2 linked regions of the Notamacropus eugenii genome follow. The protein of the gene in region 2 interacts with the protein of the main gene of each other region in a pairwise test. Links are inferred from orthologs where the notes say so. Each region holds a gene or a part of one and is shown on either strand. Other genes may lie near its edges. The genes, in order: FOXJ2 and EGLN3.

Region 1 (16,329 bases), on a different chromosome or scaffold from region 2:
AAAAATATGCCATGTTTATAAATAGCACCAGGAAGAGATTTCTCCTGTATGCTCTGGTCTCTGGACCTGATCTACACCATAGAAATGTACAGGGTGAGTCACCTGTCTTTTCAGACACCAACAGGTCTTCCAACACCTCACCAAACCAAACCGAATTAGAAAGCTGCCACGTCTAGGAGGGAGTGGGCAGCTGTGACAGCCATCACAGACAGAGCCCAAGCCAGGCCTCTGGCCAGCCAAAGCAAAACCCCATACTTGGAGGAGTGGGAGGAGAAGGAGAATGGAGAACTAACTCCCTTCTCAAGAGGTCAGGCTCCCAGCTTTTCCTGACTGGGTGCTACAGGAGGTGAATATTTGCTACCAAAATTTCTGATCTCTGTGGAGGAGTCAAGGAAATGGCACATGGAAAGTCCTAGAGAATCACATTAAAAAACTGTCCTATGCTTGAGCAGGAGCATTAGGGTGAATTCAAAGTGCTGGGGAACTTTTCCTTCAGCATTGCATGTATGTGCACATCATAGCAAGGATAGGGTGATTGTGAGTTGCCCTGGAGGAAGAGGTCCCCCCTGCTCCTGGTTGAGTCAGGCCCTTCCCTAGCCTACAGCAATGACCCTTGGAACCACATCTGGCTACAGCTCAGAGATGTTCCATCCCCATTCTCCTTTAACTCATCCTATTTCCCTTACCACCCCTCCTATTTCTCATAAAAATGATTCCCAAACATATCACCTCAATTCTACTCCCAATACTGCCATCAACTCCCTAAATACACCTAACCAACCCTTCCAATCCAATCACTAAAAAGATACAGACTATAATCCCTACCCATAATTCACCCCTTCTCCCACTGAGATAAGTAATTAAGTCTTATTGTGCTCATATTTGTCATGCTCCCCAAAAAATGGCTTGAGACTAATCATCGGGTTATTATTAGAAGGAAAAAATAGAAGGTGTTTCCATCTTATCATTCTCCACTCTCCTCTCAACCCCCACTACTAGTCTAGCCCTTTCTTTCTTCCAGGGGAGATTCATGCTACTACAGTGCCACAGAACCTAAACAAGGTCACATCATCTTGTCTTTGGTCTGGGAGATCGAAAAGTAATACTTATCCAGAGCTGGTAAAAGGTCATCATGGGAGAGTCATGATACCTACCTCTGACAGAGAAGTGATGGATTCAAGAAGCAAAATGAGACATAGATCTGTTGAACATGCCATTAGAGGAATCAGTTTTGCTTGACTATGCATATTTGTTACAAGGGTTTTGTTTTTCTTTTTTTTTCTCCATATGGGGGAAGTACAGAGAGAAAAATGTATTTTTGTTTCTTGAAACAAACTGATTTTTTTAAAGGGACAGGTTTCTCTATATAAATATGCTTTCTGAGAGTGATAAGAGCAGAGGGTAGTAAAGAAGTGATTTCTCCCTTTCATAAATACTAGATAGATTGCTAAATAAACAAACACTTAGATTGACTCATAATATTTTTACTACTACGGCTTTTCTGCCTGGACCTCTAACTTCAAAGTGTAGGAAGCTCTAAGTACACAAACTTTTTACCAATGCAGATCAATTGGACCAACGGCGGTTTTAAGAGTATTGCCTGAGGCACTGCTAGGTTACGTGACCTACATCAGTCATTCAGCCTGAATGTGAAAGAGACCAGTCTTAAACCCAAGTCTTCCGGACTCCAAGGCGAGCTTTCTCTCTCTCCTTTGTAAAGCTCTTAGCACACAGTAGGTGGTTAATAAATGCTTGTTCCCTTACCCTCAGCCCCCTTCCACCATTCTGGGCCGATTATAAATGTTTTCTCCCCAGTTCTATGATATCACTGAGATAGAGAGTCAGCTCCTCCCGGGGAGGAACTTCTCCCACACACCTGTGCAAATCAGTACCTTCTTTCGAATAACATTCTTGGGTTAAGGGACTTGCCCAGGGTCACTGCCTGAGTCATAGAAAGTTCTTTCTGAGTCATGATCAGTTCTTTACCCTTTTTACCCCTAATACTGCTTTTCAAATAAAATGGCATTTCTAATCACTCACATTTCTGTACCCCTTTATGGTCTGCAATTGGATTCCTGCTTCTACTCCTGTGCATTTATTATCCTGATTTTTCAGAAGAAACAGACTCAGAGGGACTGGAACTTGCCCTCGATCTACTTGCTCTTAAATGCCAGAGCTAGGATTCAGACTCAGGCCTCAACTTCACATCCAAAGCTCTTTACACTACAACCAAGCTGTCTCTCACTTTCATACTTAGATAGGCAGATGTATGTTGTCTGGTCTGCAATCTGGAAGACCTGAGTTCAAATCTGACCTCAGACACTTACTATCTATGTGACTACAGGCTCTCTTTGCCTCAGTTTCCTCAACTATAAAATGGAAATAATAACAGTACCTACCTCCCAAGCTTGTTGTGAGGATCAAATGAGATAATACTTGTAAAAGTACCTAGCAGAGTGCTTGGTAGACAGTAGGTACTATATAAATGCTTATCCTCTCCCTTGTCATAAGAGCATAGACATGGAGTTGGAAGACCATCTAACCTAAGCCGCCACCACCACCCCTAATTTTACAGATGAGAAATTGAGGCCTAGGCAGTTTAAATGATTTGCTTAAGGTCACACAGGCAGTGATCATAAAATGCAGAATTTGAAACCAAGTCCTCTGACTCCAGAATTAGTGATCTTTCCACTGAACCAAGGTAGACACTGAATAGGTCATAAAAGTTCCCAGAGGACAAGATTTTCTTCCACTCAATTTCAAATAACCTCTTTCGGAGACTGGAAATATTTTCTATCAGATCATAGGGCTAACCCATTGACAGCACCAATTTGGAAAGGAAGGATTGATAGATAGATGGAAGGAAGGAAAGAAGAAAGAATAGGAAGGAAGAAAACAGGGACAGAATAAAATATAAAACCTAAAATTTGCTTGGTTCAGCTTTGTTACCAAGTCCTTAGGGTTCATCCTAGTTTTTGGCTGTTGTTTTTTTTCAGAGACAGAATCAGGTCTAGGAGCTTATATAAGTATAAGCTCTGGTGCTCATAGTTGTAGGGACTCATGAACTTGAGCCTAGAGCACATATGTTCAAATCCCAGAATTTCCACTTACTACCTATGTGACCTTAGGCAATGGACTTAACCACTTGAAGTCAGTTTGCTCATTTGTAAAATAAGGGGACTACATTAGATCGATCAATCTTTAAATCCATAGTCCTTTACCAAACTCATCATTCCACCTGACCCCACTTAGGGGTCAGACAGAAAGGTAGCATTTTAGGTTAGGCTGTGATCAAGCTCCCCAATGTAACTGGGGTGCTGGAATAATTTTTATTCCTGACCAGATGGTCAGCTGCTTTGGGAGAAGAGAGAAGCTGTCATAGCAAAACTGGATCTTGCCAGAATGAAAAGTTCTTGGGGTGAAGGCTCAAATATCTCTGGATAACCTCCAAACCTAGAGAATCTTCTATCACTCCCAAAGTTCCAAGGGTGTCGAACCCAACCTGGACTACTCTGATATTTATGATTATTGCTGTATAATCATTCAAGGATGTCAGGCTTCAAAAAGTATTCCCTACCCCCACCTTACTCTGTGTATGTCTATACTTCACCAGGACTCATAAGGGTCCATCCCATGTACAGACTGCACCAGAAACATGATTTTAGGTACCCTGGTATTCTCAGCTTTGCAGTCAATCACACCCAGACATAGATACTCCAAACATAGAAACGTAGAGACATACACTTGAATTATCATTCAGTCATATAATGTACTAACATGCCTCCTCAGGAGTATTTATACTTAAATCTACTCCATAATATCCTATTCCCCTTTGGAGAAGATCCTGCCCCTTGGCCTAGAGGCTCCAATTCATCAGATCTGATCCTGTCTCTCACCAAATATATGCTATGGACTGCTACTTTTGAGTCAGGAAGCAATTTCAGCAGCTTAGGTAGCCCATCCTGGGGTTAGGCTGGAGAAGCAGGAGGAAAAAGTAAGAACCCAAGCATAGTTCCACACCCAGCTATGCTGTGGGATGGGTAGGAATGGATAAAGTAGAGGGCAAAGGCTAGAATAGTTCAGAAAAAGATAAGGTGTCTAACAAGCTTGGAGTCATACAGCTAACTCATTGCCCCTGAGGTTAAAAGGAAAAAAAAAAAGGAGAGAGGTTAACAGATCTCCAGAAGGGATAGTTCTCCTGGAGGCAGTCTAAGGGTTAACAGGAGGGAGTCCCCAGTATCCCACTATTTTGGAGCAGTATCTTCTCTACTGCAACCTTGACTTCCCTCAACACTCTTAAGAAAGGCTTATATACAAGCTGGGGAGCATTCACCCCAGGCCATGAACTAGAAAGAAACTATTCGAGGCTTTTCTGGAATCGAACCATAATCTAAGACATTTCTTAGATGTCATGATCTCCTTGATGGAAAGATTCTTTTGAGAAGACTTACTGCTGACTACACACATCCCTTTCCGGTTAAATCACACTTGCTCTCACCTGAAGTATAATCATAATAGAACTGAAGCCCTACAGCACAGTGGTATAGATCTTTCTGTAGGGAGAGGCTTCAGCTTTGGTCCTCCCAAAGTCGTGCAGTCTACTAAATTCTAGTTCTCCCATACTTCTTTAGGGCTTAATGGAGACCCAGCCCCCTATCAACTTTGTGTCTTTAGGCAAGTCACAAAACCTCTCTTGTCCTGACTCCTCATCTGCAAAATCAGGGAATTGGCCTAGATGGCATCTAAGACCTCAACTCCAAATAGTTTCTATGAGCTATGAGAGCAAAATGACACCATCCATGACCCCATGATAGAGATGCAGAGGAAGAGGGCTTTCTGTGACACTGACCCCACCTTCATGACTACAGAGAGATACACACATATCTTTGGATACATGAATACAGCATCTTGATTGATCCTGGGGTTGCTCATCCCTTGCCCAGGCCAGGGGTAGGTGGGAGTCCCTGCAGGTGCCAAACCTCCTTAACATAGGTAGGGAGGCGCTGGCTGTGACATGATGTAACTCTGACAGGACTCCTAGACAATGGTGTCAAATCTTAAAGCAACTGGCAGCATGAGGTGCAAAGATAAGACTGGGTTTGGAATCTGAAGACTTGAGTTAAAATCCCAACTCCCCTCTAAAACCTGTGAGATCCCAGGCAAATCTCTTCACTCATTGGACCTCTGTTTCCTCATTTGTAAAATGAAGAGGTTGAATAAGATGATGTCTGAGGTCTTCTCTAATTCTACACCCCATGATGATCATTCCATGATTCTGTTACACTAAAGAAAATCTCCAAACACACAAGGGGCTAGAGGGAAAGTTAAAACTTCATGTGACTACAAGCCTTTCAAGCTTGGGGCCACCTACTCTTTGGTCTATGATCTAGACATCAGGAAGCAGACACAGAGTCCTAGGATCTGTCCAAGTGTGCCAGCCCTTGCCCTGTCAGGCCACAGGGCCTAGCACAGAATTTGGCATATGAAAGGCACTTAAGAAGTGCTTGGTGAATGAAAGCCAATTCCAGAGTTGCACTGGCCTGGGAGCAAGGTGGGCTGAGGATGACAAATATAAAGATCAGAAGGTGCTGGCACACTTTTCTGATGCCTCCCATCCCCTTGCTTCTCAGCATGCTCAGCAAGATTTCCTTGGGGAGGAGGAGGAAATCCCACCTCTCCCCAAACTCTAGAGAACCCATTTTCCAGAGTCTTGGCAACAAGATCCATACTCCACAAGCTTCGGAAGTTCCACCTCCCAGGATCCATTTGTCATCTCTAGAAGATCCATTCTCCAAGTATTCATTACTCTGATCCCTCTGCAACTCCCTGGCCCAAAAAGATCCACTTCCTAGATGTCAAAACCAAATTCTGGACCTCCACCCTCTTTTGATCCACTTAGTTCATAAAAGGAGTCAGAGAAGGAAAGGGAGGGAGGAGGGAGAGGTTGACCACAGGCATTACTCACCTGCCTCCGAGGTTCTCCTGGCAAAGGAGGGGAACCACCTGGCACCGGAGTGTGAGGCTGAAGGGGTATTTCTCTTTAGGGGCAGACCGAGGGCCCCATCCTCAGTAGCTCTTCGTGGGCTCTGCCGAGTTCCCCAGGCTGGGGTGGGGAGGTGAGTGCCCCGAGAAGGTGGAGCAGCCGCAGGAGGGGAAGGAGGTCCTACCTGCGGGAGGTGGTAGACCCCCCACGCCTTGGCAGTAATCCTGGGGAGAAGGGGAGGAGCCTCACCCAACCCGGGGTTGTCTCCTCCCCCTTGGGAGAGTCCCCTTCCCCTCAAAACGGAGTCCTTCGGGGGCGAGGGACTTCTGCGGGCTGGAGAAGGAGGGGGAGAGGCGCTGCCCGGTTCCACTTTTTAGGTCCTAGGAAGAAGCCCGCGGACTTGGGGTGGGGATGTCGCTGCCCTTTCCTGAGTACGGGAGGGATCCCTGCGGTGCCCTCGCAGCCCTGGTCCTGGCACTCTTCTCGGCTCTCGCCAAAGGAGCGCGGGCACGAGAGGAGGAGGGCGCCTTTCTCCTTTCCCCCTTTGCCCAGAAAGTCTGGAACTAAGAAGTGAGTGTGTCTACGCAGGAGGTGAGGAAGGAGGGTGCCCCTGCTTCCCGGGGGGGGACGCGCTCCCCCGGGGCACGGCCCGGGCTCTAGGGGTCTCCGGTCCAACAGAGGCCGGCCGAGCGCCCCGGGCGCGGCGTCTCGCCTCCCTCGGCGCTCCGCGGGGGCTGCCCGGCTGGCCCGGCACGGAGGCCGCGGCTGCGGGCTCGGCGCGGGGGAGCAGCGGCGGCAAGCCGGCCGCCTCGTCCCCCGGGGCCCGCGGGGCTGCCCGCGCCGCCACCCCGGACGCCACGCTACCCGGACTCCGCGAGAGTGGGGCAGCTGGCGAACATACGCGCGGTCCCCGGGCTCGGCTCGGGCTCCGGCTGCGCTCCGCTGCAGGCCCCGGCTCCTCCCCGGCCTCCGCGCGGTTCCTCGCCCCCCTCCCCTCGTGTCCCCGCCCCCCGGCCCAGCCCGGCAGTCACGGCCGGCGTCTCCCCGCCCAGGTTAAGGAGGCTTGGGGAGGTGCGCAGGCTCCCACCTCCCGCTGGCCCGGGCGGCCGCCCCGGGCTCTTTCCCTCCGGCTAGATAGTCACCCCCTCCGCCCACCCATCCCGGAGGGACGAGCAGCCCCGGGATGGTCCCAGATGCTCCGTCCACTTCGGGCTGGAGGCGCGGAGCCTAAGTGTCGGAAACCTGGGGGTCCTGTAGCTTGTGACCTTGGGCAGATCGCAGCCTCTAAGCCTCGTCTGTAAAGTGAGAGGCTACCCCCACCAGACCTGTCAGGCTCAAGGGAGTTGGCATCTATACATATGGATGTATGTCTATGTATGTGTGTATATATGTATATATATGCATCCCAAAGTCCCTTGTGGACTGTTAAAATGAAGTCAACAAGCTTTTATTGAGCGCCTGTCCTTTATCTTTTGTTATTATTCGAAGCGCTGGGATACAAATAAAGACAAAAAGTATCCAGACCTCAAGGAGCTCACAGTCTAATGGGGCGGACCTCCATGCAAATAACGGTGTACAAACACGCTGGATACCAGATAAACAGAGTAATCCCAGAAGGAAGCCACTCGCATTAAAAGGGATAAGAAAAACCTTCTTGCAGAAGGTGGGATTCTTCACACCACAGAAAAGCAAGGTACTAAGAACTCTCCTGCAACTCACTTTACAATCCCTTTAACAACTTCACAACTTCCTGACCCTTTACAGGACAAGCTTCAGCTCCCTCTTCAGAACCTGTTTTCCCCCTAGATAATATTAACACCACTGTACAATCTTTTTTCCCCCTTTTTTTTTGGCTTCTCTATTCCTACTCCCCCTTCAACCTTCTTCCCCGTTAGAAAAAGATTAATAAAGCCCTTGTAACAAATATGGATAGTTAAAACAACTGTGTCCAAAAATGTCTCTTATTCTTCCCTCTCAGAAGGTTTCCTCGCATTATTCCTCTGAAGTCATGGTTGGTCATGAAACTGATCAGAGTTCCCAACTCTTTCAAAGTTGTTTTTTTCTTTGTCACGTTGTAACAGTATAAACTGTTCTCAGTTTATTCAGCATCGCTTCATGCAGGTCGCCACTGCACAAGCTTACACTCTCCTTGGACATCTCCTATCTACCCTCTAGCCTGGCTCTCTCTCCTCTCCCTAACGCCTCCTCCAGCAAGGATAATAAAACACTAGCCATGATGTATATGAGTCGATTCAGCCTACATATCGCTTGTTTGAATATATTTGTATGCTGTGTCTCTCATTTGATTGTGAGCCACTTGAGGGTAGGAATTGTGTTACTTTTCTTTGTAAAGCCGGCGCTTAGGGCACAAAGCAGGGGCTTGATCATGTTTTGTTGATTGATTGAAGCCCTAAGAGGCAGATAAGCCATATTGCAAGGTTATAAATTTATCCCTGGCTAATAAAATCCTTTTCTCTCCTCTTCTACTTACCCTCTAAATACCATTGTGGGTCCTTTAAGTCATCTCTGGGGGGACTACCTAAAGTTTGGGGGCAAAGACTGGTCTGGAGATGAGGCAGGAGGATCATGGGGGGCATCACGGGGGCCTACAGGATTGGGAGATTACTTTAATCAGTACTGGGCAAAGCACAACATTGGAAAAGCAGAGACTGTAGAGAAAGTGGCATTCGCCTCGCTTTTGAGATCCAGACACTCCCAACTGTCCCGCTCCACCTTAAGATGGTTCTGTCACTCCCCAGCAACCAGCTCCTCCCTCGTCCCCCCCTCCACCCCTGCAGCTTGGACTCAGGAACCTGTGTATGGGAGGAGAGTCGCAGAAAGAGACGCGCAGAAAGGGGAGATTGACACCAGAGCTGGGGGGCGGGGAATCGAAAAGAGCACCTAGGGCTGGGTGGCCTGAGAAGGGGAGTGAGAGCATAGCACTCAAAGGCTGGCCTCTTTCCTGGAAGCTGGAAACGATCAGGGGGTAGGGAGGTGGGGTACAGGGCACAACTTGGCATGGGGTGGAGGAAGAAGAGGAAAGCTGCGACCCTCGAAGTAAATGCCACGCTGCGACCACCCAGCTTTAACTGGAAGTTCAACCAATTGTAATCTTCCTCAAACCCATTCCAAAAGAAGGGTCAAGCTTCTATTCCCCTCCCCTGGTGCTCTTTGTCTCTCTCTGATGGGTTAGAGTCTGAGTAGGTTTGGCACAAACAAGCTTTTCAATTGGCTAATTTAACAGTCTGTCATGAGGTCGGAGACTAGCAAAGAGAGGTGACTGCATGGGCAGGAAATGGTAAAAAAATTGGCCCCGCCTCCTTAGCCTACTGATTGGTTAACGTTGGAAATGACGTAAGGAAAAGCATAAACAAAACGCAGTAGGGATGAGGCTCCCATTGGTTTCCCACTTCTCGCCGGGTTAGCTGTAGGTTTGGAGGCGGGACGGGGAGAGCCCAATTATTTTACCGAAGAACGGAAGGGAAAGAGAACCCGGAAATAGGAAAAGATGGGCTTATGAGAAGATAGAAAGTGTAATTAATTAGTGGGGCTCAGCAGGGTACCACTCTCACCCAAAGTCAGCGTCTCGTGTGTGCGTTGTTAACCCATTAAAGTCAGCACACTTCCTAGTGACCGGGAATAGAAGCGACACTTGCTTCTGCGTCTCTTCTGTTCCCGACACACCTGTTAACACATGACCTCATGCCTCTTAAAAGGGACAGAAGGAGGGAGGCAGGGAAGGAGAACACACGTCTGTCCCTGGAGATGACGGAAGACTGAGGCATAGCAAAGCTCAAGGACTGGTCCCTGGCTCACGTAGCACCATCCTGCCCAATGTAGGTTTCCAGGTGGTTTTCCCATCCCTTTTACATGTAGGAGATGGAGTGGAAGGAAGGTGGGGAGCTAGCATGTGGCATCAGGAGGTCTACAAAAAAAAAACAACAAATAAGCCAAACCCTTGGATAGGTTTTCAAATCTAAACCTTTCCACCTGTGGCAAAAGTTTACCTGATTGCCTTCCCTGATGTCCTTTTCTTCTTATGTACCTCTCAACAATTTGTTTAATATTTTTCTGGTGCATTTATATAAGAGCACTTCCAACTCTTAAGTCTAGTATTTTATTTCTTAAATTGTAGTTATTGCATTTTGTTGTATTGTAGTATTATATCACTCTACCAAATTAGAAACTACACCATGGCAAGACCTATGTTTTACCTAAACTTGTATTCCCAGTGCCTTGCAGTTTGCCCTGCTCATAACAGATGATAAATGTCAAATTATGTGAATTTCAATTTGGGGTAGCCCAACTTTGTGTGTAATATAAGTAGTGTATTTCTGAGAAGACTTAGCAAATATGGGTGTGGTAGGATAACAGATTGTGCAGATATACACCCCATTGCAGCTTTGCAGACAAATAGATAGCTGTCCTCCCTTTACTAGCAGTCTCAGTCTCTAATAGTTCAACTCAACAGTTTGTTAAGGCAGAATCAAGATGGTGGAGTAAAGACAGGGACTCACCTAAGCTTTTCCAAATTCCCCTCCAAACCACTTTAATGCTTCCAAATGAATTCTGGAGTGACAGAACCGACAAAAGGAAAGAATGAAACAATTATCCAGCCCAAGACAACTTATAAGGTCTACAAAAAAGGTCTGTCTCACTTGGGTGAGAGTTGAGCAAAGTCCAGCAAAGGCAGCAAGCCATTAGCAAACTGGTCCCTGAAAAGCCAGCACACTGAATGAATAGCAATGACTTCCAAGAATTCTTAACCCAGCCATGGTAAGGGGGCTGGACAACTCATCAGAAGGAAATTAAAAGGAACACTTTGCTGCACTAAGTGCACTACACTAAGTGACACTACGCTAAGTGCAGGACTCTGTTCTATTGCCCATATGAAGATCCAGGTTGCAGACCCAGTTTGTAGTTCCAGGTTGAGGATCGGCACTAGCACACTACAGCTCAAAACCACAGGGGAATGGGACACTGATCAGAGTTCCAGGGCACAAAAGAGTGCTTGTGGTCACTCACAGACCAAAGCACAGGCCAAGAGAGCAGTGACCAAATCTCTCCTTAGATCATACCACCTTGAAATAACTGAAAACTTACAGGTCTGCAGAAGCAACTCTAAAATCAGCAGCACAAAAAATGTAAAGGTTGGAACAATGCTCACTCCACCCAAGGAACAGAGTCCTACTTTAACATAGAGTGAAAAGACAAGACATAGGCTGGGAAAATGAGCAAACAACATAAAAAGAACCTGACCATAGAAAATTAGTATGGTGACAGGGAAGATCAATATACAAATTCAGAACAAAAATGTCAAAATGGCTACATACAAAGCTTCAAAGAAAAAGGTGAATTGGTGTCAGTCCCTCCCAAAAAAAGAATTCCTAGAAGAGCTCAAAAAGGATTTTAAAAATAAAAAAATATAGGTAGAGGAAAATTTGGGGAAAGAAATGATACAAAAGAATCATGAAAAAAGTCAACAGCTTGGTAAAGAAAGCAAAATAAAATAGAAAAATATGTACAAAAATTCACTGAAGAAACAACTTAAAAAGTAGAATTGGACAAATGGAAAAGGAGATACAAAAGTTTGCTGAAGAAAATAATTCCTTAAAAATTAAAATTTAATTTAATTTAATTGGGCAAGTGGAAACTAATGATTTCATAAGACATCAAGAAACAAACAAAATCAAAAGAATGAAAAAAATTGAAGAAAATGTGAACTATCTCACTGGAAAAACAACTGACCTGGAAAATAGATGGAGGAGAGATTATTTAAGAATTATTGTACTAACTGAAAGCCATCATAATAAAAAAGAGCCTAGTTATCATCTTCAAATAAAATTATTCAGAAAAACTACTCTAATGTCCTAAAACCAGAGAGTGAAATAGAAATTTAAAGAATCCACTATTCACCTCCTAAAATTGATCCTGAAATGAAAACTCCCAGGAACATTATAGCCAAATTTCAAAGCTGTCAGATCAAAGAGAAAATATTGCAAGCAGCCAGAAAGAAAAAAAAAATCAAATATTGTGAAGCCACAGTCAGAATGACACAGCATTCAGCAGCTTCTACATTAAAGATTGGAAGGCTTAGAATATGATATTCTGATGGGCAAAGGCGCTAGGATTACAATCAAAAATCATCTATGCAGCAAAATTGAGTATAATCCTTCAGGGGGAAAAAATCAATATTTAATGAGAGAGGATTTTTCAAACATTCTTGATGAAAAGACCAGAAATGAACAGAAAATTTTATTTTCAAATGCGAGATTCAAGAGAAGCATAAAAAGGTAGACAGGAAAAAAAAATCATAAAGGATTCAATAAAGTTAAACTGTTTACATTCCTACACAGGAAGATGATACTTGTAACTTTAATACCTTTATCTATTGATTAGGACAGTTTAAAAGAGTATGCAAAGACAGAGGGCATGGGATGTGAATTGACTATGATGGAATGATATGCAAAAAATTTAAGAGGTAAGAAAGAGGGATGCACTGGGAGAAGGAGGAAGGTAGAATGGGTCAATTATCTCACATAAAAAGGGTTCTAAAGAGTTTTTACAATAAAGGGGAAGATGGAGAGGTTGGTCGGCAATTTTTGAACCTTATTCTCATCAGAACTGGCTGAAAGAGGAAATTATATATACACTTGGTTGGGCATAGAAATTTATCTTACCCTACAGGGAAGTAGAGAGAGGGAGAAGAAAAGGGGGTTGGGCAGATATAGAAGGGAGGGCAGATTGGGGGAGGGAGTGGTCAGAAGCAAAACACTTTTGAGGAAGAACAGGGTGAAAGGAGAGAGAGAGATAAACAGGGAAAGAAGGATGGAGGGAAATACACAGTAATCATAACTGCAAATGTGAATGGGATGAACTCACCCATAAAACAAGCAGATTGCAGAGTGGATTATAAAACAATGCAACAATCTGTTTACAAGAAACACACTTGAAACAGGGAAACACAGTAAGGGAGTAGACTAGAGTAGAAGTAGGAAGAGCTGAGGTAGAAATCCTTATCTCAGATGAAACAAAAACAAAAATCTTATTAAAAGAGATAAGCAAGGAAATTATATCCTGCTAAAAGGAGACAATACTAAACATATGCTCCAAATGGTATAGCATCCAAATTCTTAAAGGAAAAGTTAAATGAGTTACAGGAGGAAATAGAAAGCAAAACTATCCTAGTAGGAAACTTCAACTTTCCCCTCTCAGAACTAGATAAATCTAATCACAAAATAAGAAAGAAATTAAGGAGGTAAATAGAATTTTAGAAAATTTAGATATGATAGACGTCTGGGGAAAACTGAATGGGGAAAAAAGAATGAATATATCTTTTCCTCAGTGGTATATGGCACCTAAACAAAAATTGACCATGTATTAGGGCATAAAAACCTCACAACCAAATGCAGAAAAGGTGAGATAGTAAACATGCACCCTTTTAAGATCATAAACCAATAAAAATTACATTCAACGAAAGGCTATGGAAAGATAGATAAAAATTACAATTGGAAACTAATCCTAAAAAATTAAGGGGGTCAAAGAATAAATCATAGAAACAATAAATTCATTAAAAAGAATGACAATGAGACAATATACCAAAATTTATGAGATGGAGCCAAAGCAGTACTTACAGGAAAATTTATATCTCTAAACACTTATATCAATAAAATAGAGAAAAAGCAGATCAATGAAATTGGGCATGCAGGTAAAAAAATAGAAAAGAACAAATTAAAAATCCCCAATTAAATATCAAATAGGAAATCCTGAAAATCAAAGGAGAGATTAACAAAAGTAAAAGTAAGAAAACCTTTGAACTAACAAATAAAACTAGGAACTGGTTTTATGAAGAAAAAAATCAATAAAATAAGTCATAGGTTAAGGTGATTTAAAAAAAAAGAAAACCAAGTTACCAATATCAAAAATGAAAATAGTGAATTCAGCACCAATGAAGAGGAAATTAAAGTAGTTACTAAGAGCTAGTTTGCCTAATTATATGCCAATAAGTCTGACCATCTAAGTGAAGTGGATGAATATTTACAAAAATATAAATTGCTCAGATTAACAAAAAAAGGAAATAGAATATCTAAATAAGTCCATCTTTAAAAAAGAAACTGAACAAACTATTAATGAGCTTCCTGAGAAATAATCCCCAAGACCAGATTGATTCACAAGTGAATTCTACCAAACATTTAAAGAACAATTAATTCCAATACTATATAAACTATTTGGAAAAAAAGGCAAAATAAGATTTTTACCAAATATGGTGCTAATACCTAAACCCGGAAGAGTGAAAATAGAGCACGAAAACTATAGACCAGTTTCCCTAATATTGATACAAAAAAAAATTAAGAAAGTACTAGCAAAGATTTTACAGCAAGATATTACCAAGATAATACACTATGACCAGGTGGGATTTATATCAGGAATGTGGGGCTGGTTCAATATTAGGAAAACTTCAGCATAATCAGCCATATTGTTAACAAAAACAAAAAAAATTCAAATTATCTCAAGAGATGCAGAAAAAACCTTTTGACAAAGTACAACACAGTCTTACTAAAAAAAAAAAAAACACTAGAAAACATAGGAATAAATGGAGCTTTCCAAAATAATAAGTAATATTTATCTAAAAACCATCAGCAAACATTATCTGTAATGGGGAAAAGTTAGAAGCCAATCCAGATTAGGATTGAAATAAGGATGCCCATTATCACCATTATAATTCAATATTGTATTAGAAATGCTAGCTGTAGCAATAAAAGAAGAGGAAAAATTGAAAGAATTAAAATAGTCAATGAGGTATTAAAACTTGCACTCTTTGCAGGTGATAGGACTAGGATACTTGGAGCTAAAGAATCAATTAAAAAACTAGTTGAAAAAATTAACAAATTTGGTAAAGTTACAGAATATAAAATAAACTCATATAAATCATTAGCATTTCTATATATTGCCAACAAAGTCTAACAGCAAGAGATAGAAAGAGAAATTCCATTTAGAATAATTGTAGACAATATAAAAATACTTTAGAGTCTACCTGCCAAGACAAATCAAGGAACTATATGGACATAATTACAAAACACTTTTCACATAAAGTCAGATCCGAAAAATTGAGAAAATATTAATCCTCATGGGTAGGCCAACCCAATATAATAAAATGATAATTCTACCTAAATTAATTAATTAGTGTCATACCAATCAAACTATCAAAAATGATTTTATAGAGCTGGAAAAAATAATAACAAATTTGGGAGAATAGAAGTCAAAAATATCAAGGGAATTAATGGAAAAATATGAAGGAAAGCATACTAGCTGTACAAGATCTCAAACTGTATTACAAAGTGGTAATCATCAAAACAATCTGTTACTGGCTATGAGATAGAGTGGTGGATTCAATGAAATAGATTAGGTACACGATACAAAATAGGTAATTGACCATAGTGTTTGATCATTATATATAAAAAAAAAAATAGTGTTTTATTTGAAACAAGAACTCATTATTTGACAAAAATTGCTGGGAAAACTTGAAAGCCGTTTGATAGAAACTAAGTACAAAATAACATCTCATACCATATACCAAGATAAGGTCAAAATGGGTACATGATTTAGATATAAAGAGTGATACCATAAGCAAATTAGGGGAGCATGGAATAGTTTACCTGTCAGATCTATGGACAGGAGAAGAATTCATGACAAAACAAGAGAAAAAGAACATTATGAGAAGTAAAATGGATAATTGTGATTACTTCAAGAGTTTTTGCACAAACAAAACCAATGCACCCAAGATTGAAGGAAAGCAGAAAACTGGGGGAGCACTTTTACCACAAGTTTCTTTGATAAGGGCCTCATTTCTCAAGAGAAACTGAGTCAAATTTATAAGAACTCAAGTCAGTCTCTAATTGATAGTCAAAGGATAAGAAGAGGCAGTTTTCAGATAAAGAAATCAAAACTATCTGCGGTCATATAAAAAAACACTTTCAATCATTAGTGATTAGCAAAATGCAATTTAAACCAACTCTGAAGTAACACATCACATCCATCCAATTGTCTAATATGACAGAAAAGGAAAATGATAAATGTTGGAGATAAAAGAGGGGGCTATATGTACAACAATATTTATCACAGTTCTTTTTGTGAAATGCCCATCAGGTGGGGAATGGCTGACCAAGTTTTAGTATATGAATGTAATGGAATAACTATTGTGTTATAAGAAATGATGAGCAGGCAACTTTCAGAAAAACCTAGAAGGATTTACATGAACTGATGCTGAGTGAACTGAGCAGAAATGAGTAGGAGAACATTGTTCATAGTAACAGCAACATTATGGGATGATGGAGTATGATACACTT
Region 2 (17,048 bases):
AATTAACACAGAGTGAAGTGAGGAGGATCAGAAAAACAATTTGTACTGTGACCTCAATGTTGAAAAAAAGAGTAATTCTGAAAGACTTAAGAATTCTAATCAATGTAATGATTATCCACAATTTCAGGAAGAATTAACCAATGATGAAGCTGCTTACCTACCTTAGGACAGACAGGTAATGAGCTAATATTCAGAATGAGACACATATTTTTGGATGTGACCCATGTAGTCATGTTTTAGCTAACAATGGTTATTTGTTACAAATGGGGTTTTTTGGAGTAGTATTCCTTTTTTGCTTTTTTTTTCTCCCAGAGGGGAGGTGGCAAGTCAGAGGAAGAAAACAAATACTTGACTAAAAAAATAAAGAGAGAGAGAGACTCAAAACCTTTAAATGGATGACTAAAAAAATAGGCACATAAAAAAGTTGCCTCCTTTTGCGCAAAGACATCACACAAAGGTTTCAGAGATTTTGCTTTGTTTGGTTTTATCAAAAAGATCAATGTATTTGTACAGAAAAGGGAAATAAGTTTTATGGCACTTGGTTTTGGCAAGCATACTTAGCACTCTGAGTCACTGGCATTCTCTTTGAAAGATGCCAAAAAAGAAAGAAAGAGCAAAAATTAAGAAAATTTAAATATAAATAAGAGAGCCAAAAAAAAAAAAATTCAGAAGGAGGCACAAGTGGTCGATTTTGTTACTATTCTTAAATTTAATATATGCTTATCTCCTTCAAAAAATTAAATAGTATGGAAGAAACCAACTATCTCAGTTATCTCTGTGACAAAATTAAGTCAAAAGAACTAAGAATGATGAGTCATTTACGCAATACTTTGCGGTTTATAATGTGCTTTCTCCCACAATTTCATGAGTTAGGTAGCACAAATGTTAGTATCCCCATTTTACAAACAAGGAAGCTGAGGTTTAGTAAAGTGATTTATTCATGGTCAGTGTTTGTTAAGTATACTCCCACATCCAATGAGTCACCAAACCTTGCTGATTGTCCTCCTACAACATCTTCAGTATCTATTCCCCTTCTTTCTGTTCATATGATCAACACTGTAGTTCAGAAATTTTTCTCCTATTAATGCAATAGCCGCCTTCAGCTCTTTCCCTTCTATAAACCATCCTCCACACAGCTTCCAGAGTGATATTTCTAATACACATGTCCCCTGATCAAAAATCTCCAGTGGTTTCCTACTAGCTCGGAGGTGTATGAGGTGTTCAGGGAGAGCTAGTGCTTCTGGTGTGAGCCCTTTTCAGGACTGTTCATCCACCTTTGGTGTCCATCTTTCACCCCACTCTCACCTGTGGCTTCAAGAAGCTGTATCATGCACAATGGCCACATCCCAGTAAAATTGTCTAGGCAGATGGGCTAAAACTAGGTTTGAGGGTAATCAATATGCTCGAATTTTATCATTCCTGCATGAAAGAATATATGGGGAAAGAATTGGGCATCACTCTTTTTGTTAGTTATTTACATATGGGAAAAGTATTACATGTTCAAAGACATAATTCTGTCACTTGTTATTAATCTGGGAAAGTCGGGTCAGGAGACTTGGGTCCAAATTCCCATGTGACACTTGGCAATTCACTTAACTTTGTCCCTCATCTATAAGAGAGGCCTAGTGGTACTCCTACTCTCTACTTTTCATCGTTGTTGTGAAGGAAGCATTTTGTAACCTTAAAATATTTTACAAATGGGAGCTGTTCTTATGATATTATTACAATAACTAAAATGAACAAGTTAATAACTAAAACGAATGTATTCTAAAAGTTAGTAGCTCCATTGCTGTGACCGTTGGAACCACTCAGAACAAGTACCAGGCTCCAGCCTGTCTGAGCTTTGTTGTAAACAGACTGATTTTTTGCCAGCCGTGGCATCCCTTGTCTCCTCTGCCAAATGAAGTACTGGCATCTCAGACTTGGTTTAGAATCATAGAATATCAACACTGGAAGGGACCTCAGATTTAATTTGGATAAGCTTGCCCAAGTCTCTCCTTTTGTCCTGTGAACTGGGGTGAATGGTATTGAATGAATAATCTTAAATGTCTTGAAGAACCACAGACAAATCATTTGGGGGGGGTGCATCTAACACAGTTTTCTGATATTAATGGTGGTGTCTGTTGTGTCCATGCATTTATGTCTGCCCCCCAAAGCTCTTTATTCTGGAAAGTTATTTTGGCTTCAAAACTCACAAACTCACACCTTGTAAATCCTCTCTGCTCTTGCAAAGTGATCAGAGACAAAAAAGCTGCCAAAACTTCCATTTAAGGAGGGTACCCAAGCCAGCCATCTCTTCATTTTGCATCAGACTTCATTCTTGTGTACTTTCCAATCCCAGTTCTGCAGTAGGTATCTTCTCCTACCCCTTTCAGTTTCTTTTTCATGCATAATCATCTCCATTAGAATGGCAGTTCCTTGAGGGCAGGGACTTTGGTTGGACTTGTACTCCTGGTTTTTAGAAGAGAATATTTAATTAATTCTTGTTACCTGAATGATTTCACTGTTAATAGACAGATATACAATCTTCTAGAGAAATATAAAATCTTCCAAATGCTGTCCCTGGAGTCAGAGGACCTGAGTTCAAATTCTGTCTCTGTCTCCTATTACTTGTGTCACTTTGAGAATTATCTCTCCGGGCCTCACTTTTCTCATCTGTAAGTTAAACAGGATAGATTAGATGTTCTTAGAGGTCCATTCCAGCTCTAAATCTTTGGTCTTATAAAGTACAGTAATTAGGCCCTTAGTGGTTTAAAAATAAAAACAAAGTTCTTATCTGAGGGAAGGGGAATGAATGAATGAATGAATGAAAAAAGAATGAAAAAGCATTAACTATGCACTGATTTTGTCCCAGGCATTGTACTGTGAGCTGGGGGTATAAATAGAAAGATCAAGACAGGTCTTTCCCTCAAGAAGCTTACATTCAAATAGGGGAAGATTTTATGTATATATGTATGTATATATGTATATATATAAACACATGCACACACATAAACATACATGTATACATATATACACATATCCATATACATACGGTATTGCTAATGAGATTAAAGATCTTCCCCATACATCAATGGGCCTGCACATTAAGGGAAGCTTGATTAGGGGAGGCCTATACCTTTTGTTAATTTCCAATACACTAGTTCTCAAAGGTTGTGATACCCTCTGGCCCTGAAAAGTGTAAAAATACTCTGAGGTGAGGTTTTACTTTGGGGCTTAGTTTTTGGAAGAAGGTTTGTTTGTCAGATGAGACTCTAGGAAGCCTTTGGCAGCAGCCCCAGCTTCGAAAACCCAGATATTGGTGCTTCTCTCTGGTAACTATGTATAGCCACACAGTTATCGGTCTGTTGATCTGTGATGTATGTATTGCTTACTTTCAGACAGTTGGAAGCCCTGTCTGTTGATTTTGATTTCTCTGTATTTTCTCTGAAGTTCAGGGTGTTGACTTTTCCCCCTGAACTAAGTGAATGATACATGTGTTTGATTAAAGTGATTGTTGACCCCTCAAAAGTTACTTTCCTTTTATAAAAGCAGATCTATGAACCTGTACAACAGGCTATCCTGAATGTGTCAGAGTGCTTGCTTTTAGTAATAGATTTCCTAGTCCTCACTGATCTTTTTATGGCAGTATCAAGTCACTATTCTAGGCAGGAAGTGTGTTTTCTAGGTATCTTGCTCTCTGGCAAACTTTGGAATCAATTGTGTGACATGGGAGACACTGGCAAAGTGCTGCCCAGCATGGAGTGCCCGAATCAAAGATGATGCTGTACTCTAGGAGAAAAGCAAAATTGGAGCAGCTCAGAAGAAACGTGAGATGAGCAAATTTCAAGACACCTCTATTCCAAATGTTCACATGAACTATTTTTGTCCAACCTGTGGTATAGACTTCTGAGGTCATATTGACCTGATCAGTCACAGGTGGACACACTGTACCTTGACTTCAATATGTCATTCTGGTCCTTCTTGAGTTAAAGGACGACAACCAACCAATTCTCTGGCCCTATTTATATTCTTCCTTAAGTTTTGTTTTCAGTGAATCTATTTAGAAATCATCTAATTCAAGGGTTCTTGACCTTTTCTGTTACCTAAACACACCCCAGGATGTGTTAGAGCCAACAGACCAACCACCACTGTGAAACTTTTAGTGTGAGCATTTATACTTCAAAAATCAGCAATGACTAAAAGTTAGGGCTCAATTTATTGTTTTGTTGATTAGGAAATGTTAATAATGCAGCTTATACAAAATTGTCAGATAGTTGCTAAACATGTACCAGCACATCACTATATAGACTCCTCTGACAGTCTGTGCCTGGGGACCCTTTCTTAGAAGAATGCTTATAAATACATAAAATACATAGGGTTGCAAAGGAAACCAAGTGCATTGAAATGCAGTTATTTATATCTATATAAAGAAACACAAGTCCACAGACTCTAGGTTAAAAACTCCCAATCTAGTCCCACCCCTTTGTTTTAAAAGATGAGGAAACCCAGGCTTAGAGAGATCACATGACTTACTTAAATCACACCATTAATTAATGGTTAAAAACAGGACTCAGTCCCACCGAATATCACAGTTGAAGGGGCCCTCAAAAGACATCTAACTCAACTCTTGCCGGAACAAGAGTTACAATTACAATACTATCTCACCTCCCCTACCCCACCCCCACTTCCACACAATTAATTCGGCAGCCCTAGGTCCCTGGAGCTCCCTATTCAGTAATTCTTCCATTGTAGAGGGCAAAAATAGGTAAGTAGTTGGTTCTTGAAAACTGATTCCCACCTCCCCTTCCAATCCCAGCTCAACTTATAAATCACAGAAGGGAGAGAGTAACAGAGATGAGTCTATGTTCTTCTATCCGTTTATAAAATGTGAAGTTGTCCTGATGGAATTGGAAGGTCATTTGACCACTGTCTAGCATGAGATTAGCCACACCTCTGACGACTTTTAAAAACCTAAACCTGCCAGCCCTGGAAGCTGGAAAGATACAGCTAAGGCTAAGAAGCAGTTTTGTGGAATGTGCCTTTATCAGAGGACACCAGTAGGGTGGGGGGCACTTTACCTCTTAATAAGTCAAAAGAGCTATTTTCCCTAAAGAAGGAGAAGGGGGGCAGGGAGAGAAAGAGAAAGAAAGAGAGAGAGAGAGAGAGAGATGGAAGAAATAGTTTTAGGGAGTGTGGCTTATGGCAGCAGAGAAGAGTCAAGTATAGATTCAAGAGACAACTATCTCTGGCAGTTTGACAGTTGAGACTTAGGAAGTGGTTCACCCAAAAGAGGCATTTCACCTAAGGGAGGGTAGCATGAGGACACCAAGAGAAGAGAAAGCATCTGAGGCATTGTACTGGAAGCATGAATTTCTTTGGCCATATTTCATTTCTTCATATATGCCCCAGTATTAGCATACTCTAATATGATGCTCACTTCTCCTGCTGTATACTGGTGGAAGTATATACCACAGGTTTATGGTGAAGGGTATGTTGTACAGATGTTGTTACTGTTGCCATCTTAGTAAATGCCTCTACTTTGGGCTAATTGTGTCTATCTATTCATTATTAAAGTAAGCACACTGGTTGGTGCTAGTGAGCTACGTTTTTAGGAGTCCAAACTCAAAGTATGTTAGAAGATATGAGAGTAGACTCCCTCAGGGGCCAGAATCTGTAAACTTTTAATGGCTGGGAGCTTTTCTATTAGAAACAATCTTGGCCAATCAGGGCTAATTCTTAAAACTGATTGATTTCCTTTGTAATCTACCAAATTCAGGAAGTGGAGGGAATAGGATTGTATATCTTAGATTTTAGAGTAGGAAGGGCATCCCCAAGTCCAACCATCTCATTTAATAAATGGGAAAACTGGGGCACTGAGAGATTAAATAATTTGTCCAAGGTCATATAGCTAGCATATGTTGGAGGTAAGATTCAGATTCAGAACTTCGTTACTGAAGTCCAGCACTCTGTCTTGGAAGAAGTATGCTTTGGACATTGATCTTGGATGTAAAAGGAATTCGAAGACGCCTCCTTTGTGTTAATACCTTACCTTTGTACCACCATTTTCTCTTTGTTCTCTCTCAGATGCAACATTTTGGGCGTATATTATCTTGCTCTTTAATCATTTATGAAACTAATCTCATAAACTAGAGCTGGGCAGGAAAAGCTAGGAAGATTACAAACAACTTGTTAGTTAACAAGTACAGAGCTCCCATGCAGAGTAATAACTAGGCAACTTAAAAGCTTTAAAATTGCACAATTCCATGTTGGAAAGACTGGCTTATGCTTCTGATGAGAAAGAAGAACTTTTGAGGTTAGCTCCCCCTTTGTACTTCAGAGTTTTGCTTGGAGCTTATTTCTTTAATTAGAGCAACATAGTCTAGGCTTTCTGAAATATTTTTAAAGTTTGGAACTAGGGACTTGCTGGGAAACCTTCGTTAGCTGTTTCAGTGAACTCATGGGTGACATCTAACACTCCCATGTAGGCTAGAAACAGATTAAAATGTAATTGGGAAATATTTAACAAGGTAAGTAACACTACAATAAAACATAGATAATGTTACACTTTAAAACTAATTCAATATGCAGCTTGCAGGAATCCTTATGTATGGATTAGTGGCTGCACTTTTGTTTGAGAATGACATAAGGGCCTAGACCACTAAGAATTTCAGCAACTTGCTCAAAGTCACGAGGCTGGTATATGACAGAGACAAGACTTGTACCCACATCTTCCTGACTCATGGGCCAGCTCTCTATCCCTGGATGCCTCCTCTAGGCTATTTATGTAATGTAAATTTAATATATTTTATTTTAATATAATTTTATTTTATATTTTGAATATTTTATTTTTATTTTAATATAAAATTTGATTCTTACAACTCTGAAAACAGTGATATAGATTTTTATCAACCCCAGTTTACAAATGAGGAAACTGAGGACTAGAGATTCAATGACATTATATTCTATATTCTGGGATCAATTCAAAGTCGGGTCTTCCCAACTCCATAGTATCCTTAATAGCTGGCATTTACGTAATGTTTTAAGGTTTGCAGAGCATTTTACAAGTATTTCCATCATAACCACCTCAGAGTTAGGTGCTATCATTATTATTATTTCCTTTTTACAAATAAATAAACTGAGACAGACAGAGGTTAAGTGACTTGCCCTGGGCCATATAGCTCCTAAGTATATGAGTCCTGATTTTAACTCAGGTCCTACAGACTCCACCGTCCAGCCTTCTATCTTCTCAGTGTACCTTTCAAGACAACATTTTTTCTTGTTAGATTCAAATAGGAAAGAAAACATCACCGATGCCTATTTTATATAGATATTATTGGAAAACAATTATGCAAGTTAGGTGTGTTTTCCCCCCTTTCAATTCTAGTCAGCAACGTAAAGAAGGAAAAAGAATGTACAATCCATTGAACTGAACTGTTTAATCTATAGATAACTGAAATTTTACTTGTTTGGTTAAGCCCATCCCTAGGGTATAGTTCACCTGGCTATTAAGATACAACCATAATAACAACAAAGCAGGAGCTGGGGCATAATTACACTGACACATATCATGCCAAGGCAAACATTTTTCTAGCTCAAACTCTCCTGCCTCGCAGCACGTCTTGCAAGTAATGGGCAGTCGATAAATATTTGCTGATTAACTCATTATGGAAGAGTTTTCTTTTCATTTTCTATCTCTCTTTCTGTCTTTCCTTTCTTCTTTGCCTTTCTTGCTTTATTTTTAAAATTTTATTTTTAAATTATCTAGCATTTATTTTGTCTCTTTTCCATCCCCCCCCCCCCCAACCAACGAAAGACAAAAAGTAACAAGTAAAACAAAAACCCTAACCAAATGCCCCAAAATATGTTTCCATCTGCACCCGGAGTACAACACCCCTGTCTGGGTAACTTGCCTGGGAAATCTTGGTTGGTCAATGAATTAATGAATCTGTGTTTTCTAAGAGAAAATATGATTTAATAATAGTTCCTATTTGTACGGTGCTCTAAGGTTTGCAAAGCACCTTCCACATATTATCTCATCTGATCCTTATAAAAACCCTGACAGGTGGGTGCTATTATTGTCCTCAACTGGACAGTTGTTGAGGACAGTTTAAGTGACTTGCCCAGGGCTACTAAGTATTTAAGGCTGATTTGGGAACAGGTCAAGCCCCTGGGTCCACCGGGTCATCTACTTGATTCGGTTTTTGAAATCCTGGTAGGCATTACGCCGGGATTTAATATAGATGGAGAACTTGGTAGAAGAGCTTTCAGATTAAACTGCTCAAGCTTATGAAAATTTATGGAAAAACAAACAAAAGAGCGAATCAGTAGCATGCAGACTTGACATCCCCCTGTCAAACAGTACAGACATGCAATCGGTCAGCCCTACTCCTAAACCTGAAAAAAAGAAAATAATAAAGGAACAAAAGAGAAAATGAAAACAACGCCAGCAAGTTCTAAGAGAACCCATCTGTCCCGCCCGTTTATAAAGGCGCGAGGGGGGCGGTGTCCTCTAGCACGCTGACCTCTGGGCATTTGCAGCCAGGGGCGGGCCTCCTGATGTCCGGGGGTGTGAGTGTTGCCCAGTTAGGGGCGGGACCTGGTGACGTCCTGCGGAGTTTGGGTGGCCCGGTAAGGGGCGGGGCGGGGCGGGGACGGATACTCTGCCCCGGAGTCCTTGTCTAGTCCGCAGTCACTTTGGCTGGCGCTCCAAAAAGGGGTTCCCTCTAAGTCTCCACGCTGGGCCAGTCCAGTCCTGGGTCGATGAGCCCCGCGCAAACTCCTGCGGAGCTCGGACGGTGCTTTTGTTAAGTGGACTCCACTCAAAGAGTGGTGCGCTGGGTGCCCCCCGGAGCTGCCGGTGCGGCGCCGTCTCCCCCACCCCCGATCTCGAGGGGCAGGAGCCCTGGCACCCCGGGGGCCTCAAGCTGGGTGTCTGTCTCCCAAAGTCGCTCACACGCCTCCTCCAGTCACCCAGGCTGGGGCCCCCTCGGCTCCCCTCCGCTCGGAAGTCACGATGCCCCTGGGACACATCATGCACCTGGATCTGGAGAAGATCGCCCTAGAATACATCGTGCCCTGCCTGCATGACATCGGCTTCTGCTACCTGGACAATTTCCTGGGCGAAGTGGTAGGTGACTGCGTCCTGGAGCGCGTGAAGCAGCTGCACTGTAACGGGGACCTGCAGGACGGCCAGCTGGCTGGACCCCGCTCCGGGATCTCCAAGAGGCACTTGCGGGGAGACCAGATAACCTGGATCGGGGGCAACGAAGAAGGCTGCGAAGCCATCAGCTTCCTCCTGTCCCTGATCGACCGGCTGGTTTTGTACTGTGGAAGCCGCCTGGGCAAATACTATGTCAAAGAAAGGTCCAAGGTAAGGGCGCTGTTACTTTCAATTGGGGACTGGGAAGAGCGGCGCCCTGACCGATCGCTAAGTTAAGCACACCACTCACGTTGGCAAGAAACTTTCCCCCAAAATGTTTATACAGAGAAGACTAGTTTGGGTTAAAACAAAAATAATACAAAAAAAATAGTGGTTTGGGTTAAAGACTTGGACCGAGGCTACTTTAGCGGACACTTAATTTTAAATGAATTAGCCCCACGGATAGTGTGGTACAGTGGAGTGAACGTTGGATTTAGGAACCTAATTCCGGCTTCTGCCACTTAGCATTTGTGCGTTCTTGGACAAGTCATTTTCCCTCCTCCGAGCCTCAATTTCCTTAACGTGTAAAATGAAGGTGTTTTTCCTAGATGTCCTCTGAGGTCTTTTCCTGTTCTAAAGTTGTGATCAGCAGCACTGTCTTTGAAGGAACTTCTTTCATTGCTGGTAAAAAACTAATCAACCTTGGTTTCTGTATAGTTTGGTGATAATTTGATACTGAGAACCAGTGGACTAGACAGATGAAGTTAGCATTGGACACGTCTTAAAGATTTCGGAATAGGTGTAGCTTTGTTCTTGTTTAGTCATCCCGTAGTCCCCCCCATACCTGTTGCTCTGGTGTGTCTCCAAATACACTGTCTTTGGGGACCCATAGTTGTGGACGGCAGCTTGTGCAAGGTGTAAGCTCTTTCCCTCTCTCTGTTTCGGTCGGTGCGTTTGGCCCTTTGGCCCCAGGTAGGGTTGATCTAATTTGTTGCTTGTGAAGATCTTTCCTTGCTACCTTCAGCCAGGCCCTTCTGTAGCAGTAAATAGTTGGTGAGAGAGTAGTCTAGGACTTTTGGAAGGAAAAGAGGTTTCAGTTCACCTATCCCTCAAGAGACTCTTCTTGAGGGTAATTTCTTAGATGTGCTTACGTTGTATATTGGCAGCATCTCTGCAAAGGTGGGAAAGTTACCTTAACTGTAGTATCTGTGCTATTTGTCTACAGACTTGGAGGGACTTGCAGACAATCTGTCTTCAGGTGTTTATTGGTTCAGCCCAGGTTGTTTCCGGTAACAGCTCCAAGTGACTCTACATTTTCTTTTATCCTAAGGGAGGCTGAGGGGTAGATGAGCATAAGTACCTTTTAAAAACCTGAGGGGCACAGAGGAAAGCAAGCTGGCCATCAGGTACCAGAAGAGTCATCTATGTATTATTTGAGGGGGAAATAAAGTATTTTTCACAGTTCAAGACTGATTCTGTGATAAAACAAACCACTGCCATCCCTTGGCCCATGATCTGAGATGAGTTCTGTTAAGACAAAAAATAAAGGACAAATAGCTAAGATGTAGAATTGAGTCCTCGGAGAAGTGAAGGAGGGAGGAAGAAAGAGACAAGTATTAATTAATTAATGAAGTGTCCTGTGCTTTATAAATATTTGGTTGTGAGGAGGTTTGGAATAGAAAATTTGGAGGAAATTAGAAGATTTCTCTAAGAGGAGTTCAAATTATTTAAAGACAAAACCAAACCCCTAAACATCTGCTTTTAACTTGGGGAAAATTGCATTACCTTCACAGAATTCTTGAAGTCTGCCAAGAGGCATTTATTAAACGCTCAGGAAGTCATTTTAATTAATTAAGATACTAGACTTTCTGGTCCAATTTTGAAGGACACTCAAGATGCCTAAAGTTCTTTCAAAGCAAGATTATACAAAGTTTGAAATAAATGCTTCTTGTGGACACTGAAAAAAATAGCTTTGAGGTAGTAAAGAGTAAGTAATCACTAAGGAGATCCATCATTCCATTTAAACCTCTCCAAGTTTTAGCTTCTTTATGAGCAGCAGCCTGACCCACCTATAGGGGATTGTGGATCATCCCTACTCAGTCCTTCCTTTTACAGAGAGGATAAAGTGACTTGCCTGAGTTCTCATAGTTACCATTTAAGTCAACAAGCATTAATTGTGTCTGCTATGTACCAGGCGCTATGCTAAGGGAGGAGGGGGTGGTGTATGTATACTAATCCCCCCCACCCCCCACCTCCCTCAAAAAAGGAACCCAACCCAGGTCCTGAATCAAATCAAGTATCCTTTCCACTGGACCACTCTGTTTTTGCAAGGCCTGTCTTTCAACCCTAAAAGTTTAAGGGTAAAATTTTAATGGAAAGAATCTGAAACCCATCCAGGGCAAGAAAATTTGGTCCCATCAGGATTTGATGGTTTTATCCCATATTGGTGTGATATCCTTCCACGATCGGAATAACTTAATTAAATGTAACTCATCCAAAATGTAAGTGGATTTTAAAGTTTTTACTGGGTGGATCCCTCAAATACTTGTCTTATTTGTCTTTTCACCCTCTCCTAGGGCCCTCCCTCCATGCTTTCACACTCACCCACTCCACCCCACTCAATGTTTCACAACTTAGTGTTGGTAGATTTTTGTTGAATGAATGCTTTTTGAAATTGAAGCAAGGAAATTTGATACTGATGTCCATTCTAACAAGTGGAATTTAGGAGGTTTCTCACAAGGCAGCCTACCTTTGTCCAGAATATAGATTCTCATCTGCTGTCCTAATATGTAGCTCTTCATTCTCCAAATGTATGATTAATAGAAAAAGTAAGGCAAAATATTCTCGAACCAATTAGAATGTGTGTATATTCACATCTCTAGTGAAAAAAGCTCTATCAGAAGAAGAGAAGACATAGGGTCATATAAAGAAACCTCTTTAGCGCTCTTGGATTAGAGAGACAGAGGTGGTATCCAGTTCCTCATTTAGTAAATTTTGGTAGAAAGGAAACCATTTTCTTTCGAGGAATTTTCTTAACTTTGCCTGTTTGTCTTCCTTTCCTGTCCTTTACTTATTTCCCTCCATCTCCAGTATGGAGAGTACTCTATCCTAGGCATGGAAACCTAATCAAACATAAGGCAGAATCTGCTAAATCTATTTTAGGTTTCCTACTGTTCTTAAAGCTGAGGTATGTATTTATTTGTTTGAACATATGAATAATACTTTTCTTACTTTTAATGAGTCTTGCGAAGGAGCAAAAGCCATCAAATTGTAAGTTTGTCTAAACGCCAGGCTGAAAAGGAGAAATATTGGTCAGAGTTCAGTTGCTGAAGAAATGAGGGGCTGCTGAGATTTTAAGAGAACCCTTCATTAAGTTACCTGGGCTGAATTGACCTTGGCAGTTGAACTTGTTGGAAACATATCTTCAGGTTCTTAATTAAGGAGTCTTTGGGGAAGTCTCTTGGTTGTAATTTCTTTGCCATGTGCAGCAGCATGGCGCCCCCTAACTTCAAGTGTGGTCCTTGCTTAGAGACCCTCCCTGTATTCGTTTACAAGACTGCTCCCTCCTTTTTCAGGAATGTAGGAAATCTCCAAGACAAATATTGGTCACTACTTTCTCCTTTTACTTGACTGCATAAATCTTACGGAACAGGGATTTATTTTCCACTGGGATTGTAATTTATAGAACCAGGAGTTCTCTTGCTCAGCAATAGTCAACAGCTAGTTAGATTTTTTACAGTAACTCACCAGGTAAAAATGTCACTAACTCACAAGAATGGATATATACATATACATATACATATATATTTATACACACAGACACACACGTATACATACATGTGTGTATACATACAAACATTCATATATATGTTCTTATGTATATGTGTTATGTATTTTCATATATATTTTTGAACCGTAAGCCCAATTCTAATTCACATTTCACTGATTGCCAAGCCTTTCCCTTAAATGACTGTAGAAGCTGATTCTGAGTTCTTGGAAAACTCAAAGGCTTTAGTGTTTCCCATTACTATTTTTAGAAAATCCACTTATTAACTGAGTTGATCACAAATAGCCTTAACTGGAGTAGCCTCAGACCGTCATGTGTTTGAGGACATCAAGGAAGTAGCTTCCCTACCCCAAAGGGATTCTTGTGTGACCCAGCCAAACAATCCATGGGCAAACCTCACCATTTAGCCTTGAATTATTCTTGGAGAACAATTAAATGGATAAGAAGTTTATATAAAATTAAAAAATAACACCACCACCCACCAACCCGGGTGTAGATTTTTGTGGGTTTTGTTTCTGTGCTGATGGATGGTTTTTCCTATCTAGCCTTGACTTCTTACTTCTTCACTGGCCACAGAGAAATAGATGAAATAGAGAAATAGAAATAGATAGAATGGGATAGGGGCAAGGGAGATAGCTGCTTGCTTTCATTCTTTGGATCTGTAAATGTAAGCTCTCCTCGATGTTGATAAGACCATCTTGTCACCTAAACCTCTGTTTCTTAACCTGGATAAACAATCCAGTTCACACATAAAATGCCATTAATATAGAGGCTTTAAAGAAAAAGGTTTTGGTTAAAAACTTTTGTACTTTTTTCAGATAGTATGTGTTACATTCTTATGCAAATACATCTGTGGGGCTTCCAGTTCATATTAAATTTTCTCAAGAAAGTGCTTTGATCCATCCGAACTCTGAAAAAGTCATGGGATTGGCTTCATATTTGGGACCTCTCAGTTCCAGTTGTAATGGACAGAGTAGCTGGGACAGAAGTAATTTTGAAAAAACACTTCCTTTAGAGAAAACCTAGAGGTTATTTTATTATTTTTTACTTATGCGAACTTGATCAAGTCTCTGTTTTCTGTAAATTGGGTTGAACTGTACTAGATGAATAATCTTAGATTACCTTAAATGCCATAGATAAAAGACTTTTATAAGGTAATGCTCTGATATTAATGGCTACATCTTGTGGTTAAATATTGAGATCTTTTAATTAATAGATATAAACCTTCCACGGTTAGCATCTTGATAGCTTAAAACAAAACAAAACAAATTCTTGGCTTTTGGTTGGAACACACCCAATTTGGAAGTTTCCAGATTTTCTAGGGAAGCAAAGCACTCCAGAAAACAATTTCACAATCCTCTTTGCTTTATCCATTTGCAGTAGTGAATTGCCTTCCTAGGCTAGAAGTGCACGTATATTACTTATTTCACTCTCTTGCCTAGTTTATACCCATTTCCCTACATTCTGTGTTCAGTGAAGCTGGACCAGACGGCAGCAGTTTGTTTATAGCTGCCAACCCTTGTCTTTTCCCTAGACTTAAAGAAATCTAATTTTATTAATTTTTCATATAGTCTTTAATCTTCTTTCCCCTCTGGACCTGCTGAAGTTTTAGGAAGAGAAAACCTGTAGGCTTAGAAAAAGGATCTTAGAAATCTTGCGTTCTACCCATCTAGACTTAACTAAGCTTCTTTTGTTTAGAGAAAAAATAAATTTTAAGCAAGGTATTTGAGTAGCTGAAGGACATGAGGTTGATAAGAGGTCATTCCTTTTGGAAGTAAGCTGTATTCAGAGAAATCTTAGAAATGGGGAGGAACCCAAAATTGTCCAAATAGGTCAAAAAGGATATAGAAAATGAATTAGCTGGGGTGGAGTAGTCTGTTTGGAATGTTTGAGTACTGTTTTAAAATTGTATTTATGTATATTCATTTATAAATTAATTTATTTTGAGTGAATGAAACTTTTGTTATTCACTTTATTTTTTATTAAGCACAGTGTTGAGTGTCACAAATAGAAAAATAAGACAGTTCTTGATTTAAAAAGGAGTTCATATTCTAATGGAAGAGACAATACAAATGGAAGGTTTTAGCTACAACTCCCTCGGGAAAGTCCCTTATGGTACAGTGTCAAAACAGATGGCTAATGCCTCTTCTTTAATATCATTTTTGTTTGAAATATTTGAAATAAAATTCTCATCCTTTAGTTCATATGCATCCTAAAAATGGGCTCATAGATTTAGAGATCTTAAAGGCTATTCTATTGAGTCCAACTCCCTCATTTTGCAGATGAGGAAACTGAGGCAGAGAGGTTGTGACTTGCTAGAGCCAAACAGAGTCAGTAAAGTCTCTAAGAGAGGACTCTTTCTGGCTCTAAGGCCAGCCTTTTAACCCTTTCATTACCTAGGTACTTTTAGCTATCTGGTCCCTCTAATCACCTATACATTGAACTTATCTTATTTTTCACTCCTCCCATCTTCTTCACCTTTCTTCTGGTGAAGCAAAGTTTTTCAACTCTGAGTTAGAATTTTTTAGAATTTGCAGTGGCCATTTCAAATCTGCTCCGCACCCTTCTGTATTTTCCTCAGTTGAAGACTATATCTTACACTGTCGACACAGAATGGTATTTGTATAAATATGAATCCGTAAGTATCTTTTAGTCAGTCAACAAGTCTTTATTTAGGATACCAACAACATGGCACCCTTTAATCTTTTAACTTTTAAAAGTTTACTCAAGTCTCTGTCCTATGGTGGATTGGGGTGAATGGTACTGTGTGATAATCTTAAATTGTACACTTTTAAAGTGGGGGTGTCTGTGGGTGGGCTAGGGAGTTGGTGGGGGTTAGGGGTGGGCTAGGGCTTGATACTGACTACTGGGAAAACAATTATGAGACCACTGCTGAATTCAAGAAGCCTACTTTTTAATAATGGGGGAAGAGTACATGCACATGCCTTAAAACTTTTGGGATGTCCTGGACTTTGAGAAGTGCATTTCAGTATATTTGGTTTCCTTTGTATTCTGTATTTTGTTTTGTGTATTTAAAAACATTCAGAGAGAAGAGGTCTAACTGATGGTCAAAAGGGTCCATGACAAAAAAAAAAAGACAAGAATCCCTGATGTTGTTAGAAGGTGGAACTTGAGGTGCCTGGAAAGCAGTCTGGGTTTCCAAGGGATACCAAGCCCTGGAGGATTGAACCCTTTTCCTTGAGAAACTCCTGCTTTGGGGCCCCACATCTGATTATGGAATTGCCTCCTCCGTTTGGCTGCTACACCTAGACTGGTCCCAAGCATTTATTACCCAACTATCTACTCACCATTGACCTCGTACTTGTACCCCTCTCCAGTTCTGGAGCCATAATCAAATCAATACTATGTTCAATCCTAGAAAGGTTTGCTAATCTCCTCTATGGGCCACCATCTCCATAAGTTTCCAACCAAAAGACCTCTCTGTCCTTGACATCTATTCCCACTTAAGTGATGTATGTGTTTTCTTCCCATATAGCTCTTGAGGAAAAAGGATTTTTTTTTTCCCTTTTGCTTTTGTTTCTCTAGTACTTGGCTTCTGTGCTTGGCTCGCTTCTTGTTTACTGTTCATTCATGTCTGACTTCGTTGACCCCCCAAACCATAGCAGGCCAGGCCCTTCTACTATCTCTAAGTCTTTCCAAATTCTTGTTCTATTTCACTATTTCATCCAAGTACTAACCAAATGCTTTTTCATTTGTTCAAAGTAAGAGTGAGTGGAGGAATTACCTGTAAATAGGCAGTGATTTGGAAGAGAGGTAGAGTATCTCCTTAGCCTCCATCTACATATAAATAGATCTCAGAGTCAAAGGAAGGGAATAATATAGGAAGATTTGAGGACATTTAAGTGCCAAAGAGTTTATATTTCATTCTAGTGGTAACAGGGGGCCACTGAAGTTTATTGGGGGAGGGAGGTAATATCTTAGAAACTTGTAGTAAAAATAGTATTTTAGAAGTGATGGGTTGGTTTGGAGGCCACTTAGCTATGCTGCTCAGTACTAACTTTGCCTCTGACTCACCTTTGTGGCTCTAGGTAAATCAATTAACTTTCTGATTTCAGCTACTGAAGATTAAAAAGTAACTTGTACAGGTAAATTGTCTGCAAAGGTGGCTTTTGTTTCAAT

Evidence for each region.
Region 1: the proteins of EGLN3 (region 2) and FOXJ2 interact in binary tests that used the Homo sapiens proteins (3 or more experiments, as listed by UniProt). The two-hybrid records come from large-scale screens. The link is inferred for Notamacropus eugenii from reciprocal best matches to the Homo sapiens genes EGLN3 and FOXJ2.

Annotation. Positions count from the first base shown.
Region 1 is NC_092874.1:191,596,619-191,612,947, forward strand, and holds the start of FOXJ2 (forkhead box protein J2), read right to left. Parts: upstream 6,467-16,329; 5' UTR 5,966-6,466; intron 1-5,965.
Region 2 is NC_092878.1:51,259,356-51,276,403, reverse strand, and holds the start of EGLN3 (prolyl hydroxylase EGLN3), read left to right. Parts: upstream 1-8,640; 5' UTR 8,641-8,995; coding exon 8,996-9,352; intron 9,353-17,048. UniProt on the Homo sapiens protein: Prolyl hydroxylase that mediates hydroxylation of proline residues in target proteins, such as PKM, TELO2, ATF4 and HIF1A. Target proteins are preferentially recognized via a LXXLAP motif.